Macaca mulatta: one gene and its partner. The protein of the gene in region 2 purifies or fractionates together with the protein of the main gene of each other region. This does not show direct contact. Links are inferred from orthologs where the notes say so. Each region holds a gene or a part of one and is shown on either strand. Other genes may lie near its edges. The genes, in order: TLE2 and CCT8.

Region 1 (3,819 bases), on a different chromosome or scaffold from region 2:
TAATCCCAGCACTTTGGAAGGCCGAAGTGGGAGGATCATCTGAGGTCAGGAGTTCAAGATCAGCCTGACCAACATAGTGAAACCTGGTCTCTACTAAAAATACAAAAATTAGCTGGGCATGGCGGCGCATGCCTGTAATTCCAGCTGCTCGGGAGGCTGGGGCAGCAGAATTGCTTGAAGCCGGGAGCGGGAGGTTGCCATGAGCTGAGATCGTGCCATTGCACTCTAGCCTGGGCAACAAGAGTGAAACCCCGTCTCAAAAAAAAAAAGAAAAAATAATTGAGGCCCAATGTCCCTTAACATCTCCGAAACATCCTTGAACCTCCCCGTTGCCAACCTCCAGCTTTGCCCTTCTTGGGCACCTGGCTTGGTACCAGCCCTGATTATACAGGGCTGTGAGTTTTGGGGTCTGGGTTTCGTCCCTTTTTGCCACCTGGGAGTTCCTTGAGGGCAGGTTCCAAGGACAACTTTTTTCAGGGGCCCTAGAACCAGCCCAGGGCGTGACCGTACGGCAGCAAAGATGACCACTGTCATTCCCCAGATTACTGATGGGGAAACTGAGGCTCAGAGAGGTTGGGTCACTTGCCCAAGGTCACCCAGCTGGTGAATACCCAAGCTTGGTCTGAAACCCAAGCCCATCTGGCCCCAAAGATCGTCTCTCCAGTGCACTAGGCTGAAACCCGCGACTAAGCCCCTTCCACGCTCCAGGCCTCAGTTTCCCTACCCGCCAAGCGGAGACAACGAGGAACTGCCCAGAGGGAGGCAGAGTCTAACTTGAAGTCACAAAAAGGACTAAGGCAATGAACGCCAGGCCTGGAATCTCAGCCTTCTGCCTCTCCAGCCCCTTTTCCTAGATCTCCCCGGAGATGAGGCCTGCTCCGGACAGGCACCAACAGGCAAGGTGCTCACCGATGCTGTCCGTGGAAGGCGCTGGCTTGGCAGCGAGCTGGCAGAGGTGACTGGCCGAGCTGGGTCCAGGGGTGGACGCGTCCTGGGGCGGGGAGGAGTCGCAGGACTTGGAGGCAGGAGTGCTGGGGGGAAGGTCATTCTGCAGAGAAAGGGCAGGACTGAACGCCACCAGACACCTGGTGTCTTGTGGCCTAATGATCTGATCAGAAACTGTGGGGGCCAGTCGCAGTGTCTCACGCCTGTAATCCCAACACTTTGGGAGGCCCAGGTGGACGGATCACCTGAGGTCAGGAGTTAGAGACCAGCCTGGCCAACATGGTAACATGGTAAAACCACATCTCTACTAAAAATACAAAAAAAGATTAGCCGGGCGTGGTGGCACATGCCTGTGATCCCAGCTACTCAGGAGGCTGAGGCAGGAGAATTGCTTGAACCCGGGAGGTGGAGGTTGCAGTGAGCTGAGATCACGCCATTGCACTCCAGCCTGAGCAGCAGAACACGACTCTGTTTCAGCTGGGAGCGGTGGTTCACGCCTGTAATCCCAACACTTTGGGAGGCCGAGGCAGGTGGATCACTTGAGGTCAGGAGTTTGAGACCACCCTGGCCAACATGGTGAAACCCTGTCTACTAAAAATACAAAATTAGCTGGACATGGTGGCACGTGCCTGTAATTCCAGCTACTCGGGAGGCTGAGGCAGGAGACTTGCCTGAACCCGGGAGGCAGAAGTTGCAGTGAGCTGAGATCAGGCCATTGCACTCTAGCCTGGGCAACAAGAGCAAAATTCCACCAAAAAAAAAAAAAAAAAGGCAACAAAGTTACAAAGTTATAGGCTGTCAAGATTTGCATTTTTTTTTTTTTTTTTAATACAGGGTCTTGCTCTCAAAAATAACATGATCAGATAGGTGCTGTGGCTCATGCCTGTGATCCCAGCACGTTGGGAGGCCAGGACGGGCAGATCACCTGAGATCAGGAGATCTAGACCATCCTGGCTAACACAGTGAAACTCTGTTCTACTAAAAATACAAAAAATTAGCCAGGTGTGGTGGCACGCACCTGTAGTCCCAGCTACCCACTATCCGGGAGGCTGAGACAGGAGAATCTCTTGAACCCGGGAGGCAGTGGTTGCAGTGAGCTGAGATCGCGCCACTGCACTCCAGACTGGGTGACAGAGGGAGACCCCATCTCCAAAACAAAAAACATAAAACAAACAAAAAAAGGCACGCTCGTAGCTCAATGCAGCCTCAACCTCCCACACTCAAGTGATCCTCCCGACTCAGCCTCCCAAGTAGCTGGCACTACAGGCACACGTCTCCATGCCCGGCTAACTTTTTAAATTTTTTTGTAGAGACAAGGTCTCACTATGTTGCCCAGGCTGGTTTCCAACTCCTGCTCTTGAGTGATCGTCCTGCCTTGGCCTCCCAAAGCCCTGGGATGACAGGCATGAGCCACAGCCCGCAGTCACTGTTGAGATTCTTGAACGACAAGGAATTAGAAACTCCGGGATGGGCTCGTGGAGAGGCAGACCCCACCGCGGCATATTCTCAGGCGAAGGAAGAACGCCTAGCACACAGTGCAATCCTCCTTGTGCCCCCCACGGAGAGGGAGGTGTCACCCAGAGCTGTCCTTCCCCAAGGGGAACTCTGAGGAAAGCAGCAGCTGGACCTCCATCTAGGGGCAGGTTCTGTTATCTCGGCTTCATGTCACCGCCTCCCCTGCCTCCCAAGAAACTTCGCATCCTTGTCTTGCGTCTGTCTCGGCTTCCCATGACACCATCGCACACACGCTGACAGCTGCACAGCACCCGCACCCGCGAGAGAGTGGATGGGACAACTGTGGGGTCAGGGAGGACCCCTGAGGGCTTCTCCAATACAACGGAGCTGCCCTACCCCCTCGTAAGGTTTTTCCCGCAGTGGGAGGAGGGCACTTAAGATAGAATGGGAGCCCCAACCTCTGGTGGTTGCCATGGTAACCTGCCAAGAGGGGAGGCCTTGAAACCGGGAGGGGAGGCCTAGAAACCGACATACTCTCCCCTGGTAAGTGCAGGGGAGGGGTCTGGAGAAGATTTGGGGTGAGGGGAGCCACAAAAGGAGCTGAATTTGGAATGCCCTGGGGGTGCTTTTAGATGGCTTACATGCCTGGCATTAAACTCCAGGAGGTCCAACCGGAAAGTTGTTCCTATATTAATTATCTTTCCTTCCGGGGACAACATCTCAGCTTGGGGCCGGTGTATCTCTAAGCGCCTCTGGAAGGGCTCAACACATGCAGGCCTGGGTCCAGCTTAGCTGGCTGGGCTTTCACTGTGTTTATTTCCATGGGATTTCCTATTGATTGCAACAGAGAGACCTGCTTTCCATGTAAGGTGGTGAATTGCCTTTTAAAATTTATCTACAAAGCTTCTTTACAAAGTTGCCTTTTAATATTTACTGAGGTTCAACAAAGTCAGTCCCAGCGGGAGGTTAAAAAAAAAAAGCACAAGGAGAGGGTGGACAATGCCAGCCGGGCTGATTTCTCATCATTGCCCTCTGTGTCATGGGGTAGTGTCTGTTTCCAGGCCCCCAGGATGAATAAAGTGAGTTTCAAGGCCCTCCCCTCCTCCTTACCAGGATGAGCTCCTTGGCTCTAGGGAGTGGTGAGCCAAGGCTAGAGGCCAAGGAGGCCGGACTGTCCACCAGGTCCCGACGGGCAGGAACACAGATGGGTACCTTTCCGCAGGGGGTGGTAGCCGGGCTGGGGGGCTCTGAGGGTTGGTCCTGGGTTCGAGAAGGTAACATTGAGCAGAGTTGAAATGAGAGAGAAGGAGTCCCTCTCTATCCTCCTCCCGACTCCCACCCCAATCTCTAGAATGGGTACCCACGACCTACCACGGGAAGATTATGAAACCTCCTGCTGCCTCAGTTTACTCATCTGTA
Region 2 (3,819 bases):
TTTTGATATAAAATGACAAAGAATATACTTTGGAATAATACATATAGTAGACTCTACTAGTTATGAATGGAGGCTTAGATGACAGCCCAAATTTGAATCTTAACTCTACCTAACTCACTAGCTATGAGATCTTGGGCAAGATTTTTCTAATTTTAATCTCTTTCTCATCTAAAATAAAGTGGGGAAAAAAAAAGAAAAAATAGATAAAATGAGATTATAAGGCCTCAAAAATAGGGTTTTTGTGAGACTAAAATGATACTGCATGTGAAGCATATGTACTGTAACGGCTGCTGGTACAGAGAAACTGCTCAGTACATGTTAGCTACTACTATAATAATGATTTTAGTTTATGTTTTAAGCAGGTGTACATGTAAGCAAAAATTAAGTAGGAGTAAATTATAAATGAACACTTGCCTCTGAAACTGACAGGCCAATCCTCAGAAGTTCTTCAGCTAATTCCAGCAGAGCTCCAGCAAATACCAGAACAAAGTTTGTGCCATCTCCAACTTCTTGCTCTTGCATATGAGAAGCCATTACAATCATTTTTGCAGCAGGATGCTGTACCTAGTAGGAAAGGTAATATCAAGTTAAACATCTGATTCTTAAAGCAACATAAAATTGTTCATTTCCCTTTCTTAGACTCCAATTTTCCTGTAGATTAGGTAACTCCATTTGATCACACCGCTATACGCTACTTATAGTGTGGTCACAAGAAAAAATCCAAGTCCCTTTATGCCGATCAGCACAAATGTATCACTATAAATAAGAATTTCAAAGTGCATCCTCTTTTGATGGCCTGTACATACAGTGCCACACATATGGTTCAGCATATCATTATATCTCACTAAATTAAAAAACAAAGTAATTACAACCACCAAACCTAAATATTTTTTTAAAATCCTTCAGGATAACTAAAATAGATACCACTTAACTTGGTCATGAGTCTCAGTATCTATTTTACCATATATTCTTGTTCTAAGGGCTATCATTTGTGATTTAAAGAAAAGGGGGAGTATAAAAGTTTTCTTAAAATGTAACATAATTTTACGTGGATTTTATTCTTAAGATTTAATTTTAGATATCTTTACAGAAACAAGCCAAGGAGTAAGAACTGAAAGCAGGGAGTAAACTATAAAAGTCAGCCCTGTGATTTTATTATTTTGACAGTATCACCACTATACTTTAATAACTCCTGATGTTAACTCCTGAGATCATCAGTGTGCAACATTAACATTCACAATGACAAATCCTTGTACAAGTGTTTTGTGGAGTTAAAATTTAACTTTAAACTTAAAAAAAATTATATATATATGTATATATATTTTTAAGTTGGAGTCTTGCTCTGTTGCCCAGACTGGAGTGCAGTGGCGTGATCTTGGCTCACTGCAACCTCGGCCTCCCAGGTTCAAGCGATTCTTCAGCCCCAGCCTCCTGAGTAGCTGGAATTACAGGTGTGCACCACCACGCCCGGCTAATTTTTTTTTCTGTATTTTTAGTAGAGATGGGGTTTCACTATGTTGTCCAGGCTAGTCTAGAACCCCTGACCTCAGGTGATCCGCCTGCCTCGACCTCCCAAAGTGGTGGGATCACAGGCGTGAGCTACCGCGTCCAGCCAAAAATATTTTAAGAGGTTAGAGAAATGCTGATTCTTCTATAGTTTCATTTAAAACAAAAGATTAAGTTCTAGCGCTTTCAAGGGCTAAGCTGCAGGAAAATTCCCTGAGGCTGAATATGTTATCTTTTAATTACAAGGCGGGAATGAGGAATGGCTCTCTCTGCCTGTTCAGGTGACAGATCTTCCTTACAACCCTGCTGGCAGGCAGTATCTATTTTATAGACTCTAATAGCAAAACTGGAGCTGAACAAAGTAGATTGCCATAAACTGACTGTTTTTATTTTCATAAAATCAAGTGGTTGGATCTTTTTAAAAACCACTGTTTTATGTATACGTTTTTGCATTGTGGAATAATTCACTTCAGAGTCACTCTATCGAATGAAGATAATGGTAATCAATTTCATATCCCAATTAGCAATGTATCACAACCAATCCCTCCACAAATTAATAACTTAAGAAATTTTTAAGATTTCAGTCGTTACAATGTTCAATCTAAAGAGGACTCTCTATAATTAGAACAACCTGTATAATAAATTTTCAAGTTGGAAAAACAGTCCCTTATCCAATCTGAAATAAGAGATTTCTTCTAGTTAAAGTCTACTTAATTTTGATGTCACCAAAATATTTCTTGACTTTTAAAGAAACAACTTACTTCTAGTTCTCTTAAAATAGTCGCTGCATCATTTGTCACAAACAACTTCTCCAAGTGGTTGATAACCATTTTGTTCATTCCTCAAAAGTAACAGTTAAAAAAAGAAAAAGAAAGCCATTATTAATCAAATCCTTACCCAAATACCCACGAAAATCTAGTAAAAAAATATAAATTTGTGTATTTAAAAAATAGCTTTGTAAGAAAACACATACTATCTATTCTTCAAGTTTATCTTATAGCCCCATGGGCATTCTCTGACCGCAGACCCATATTCTTTCTTTCCTTTTTAATGTCCTACAATATTTACTACGTAACATGCCAAATCTCACATTTTTGCCAATTTCTGTCTTCTCTTGCAACATGATTGTCATGCAACAAGTGCTCAACAGATATTAATATGTAAAAAGGCCAAAATAACCTATTTAGTATATTTAGTTGTATGTTTATTCCATGAAACTGTATCAATTATATTTAATTGGCGGTAGAAGGCAAGAAGAAGGAGGGAATTTTCTTCCTTAAACTACGTCACTTTTATATTCAGTGTTTGTCACAATGAACATTAGGTACTATCTTACTAGTCAAAGTGTTATAATTTTTCTACCCTCTCAACAGGATAAAAAGTAATATATTGATCCCTATTTTTCTAGAGATCTGAGTTGACTGAAAATTAGAAATAACTAAAAACTTGAACTATTAATTAAGCTATCAAATTAACTTCCAAAGCCATACTATAACATCCTCAGAACAAGTTTGAAAGAAGAGGTAGTACACAAAATTCTACTACTGTATCTTTACAAATATTAATTTAGAAATTACCATTTGGTCCATATGCTGTACGAGTGGTTTGGGCAAGCTCCTTGCAAGCTTGTATATTTCTATACACAGCCTCTTCTAATCCTGAAAAGTGCTGTTAAAACAAACAAACAAAAAACCCCGCTAATTAGACAGGACAGTGAAACAAGAATTTTCAAACAGAAGATATCTTCGCTTATATCTTGCTTCTAATAAAGAGGGAGCATAGCTGAGGTATTCGGCACAAGAGGGCTGGTTACAAATCTTAGCTTTCTGGCTTTTTAATTTGGGCAATTTTCTTAATATTTCTTCATTATAAAATGCGGTAATTATAATAGTACCTACCTCATAGGATTGTTGAGACAATCAAACAAGATTTATGTAAAACATAGCATTTGATATTCATAAATGATGCATACATTTCCTCTCTAGCTGAATGAATAGAAGTATAACATTTTGGGGGACTGCAGGTACCTACTTACACATCAAATCGTAAGACTTATAATTTTTTTATTAAAAATAGTGAAAAGTACAGGGAACCATGCTAAGGCTAATTAGAGAATGGGAATGAGGTACTTCAAGTCGAATACCTTTCCAGAGTTTATCGGTATTTTCTAATGTTGAAATGTGGAATATTTTTCTCATTGTGTTAGAATCTGGGCTTTTGTAAAGCCAGAAGTTCTTTAAGTATGTGCCACTGAAGTGTTTAGGGACTGAAGTACCCAGACTGTTGAATACTTTTTTTGAATTGCAACATTAT

What was found.
Region 1: the proteins of CCT8 (region 2) and TLE2 purify together in Homo sapiens (affinity purification with mass spectrometry; 3 studies listed by BioGRID and IntAct, with this or other methods). This does not show direct contact. The link is inferred for Macaca mulatta from reciprocal best matches to the Homo sapiens genes CCT8 and TLE2.

Annotation. Positions count from the first base shown.
Region 1 is NC_133424.1:3,804,600-3,808,418, forward strand, and holds part of TLE2 (transducin-like enhancer protein 2), read right to left. Parts: intron 3,661-3,819; coding exon 3,511-3,660; intron 1,049-3,510; coding exon 910-1,048; intron 1-909.
Region 2 is NC_133408.1:18,428,801-18,432,619, reverse strand, and holds part of CCT8 (T-complex protein 1 subunit theta), read right to left. Parts: intron 3,175-3,819; coding exon 3,084-3,174; intron 2,348-3,083; coding exon 2,268-2,347; intron 565-2,267; coding exon 415-564; intron 1-414. UniProt on the Homo sapiens protein: Component of the chaperonin-containing T-complex (TRiC), a molecular chaperone complex that assists the folding of actin, tubulin and other proteins upon ATP hydrolysis.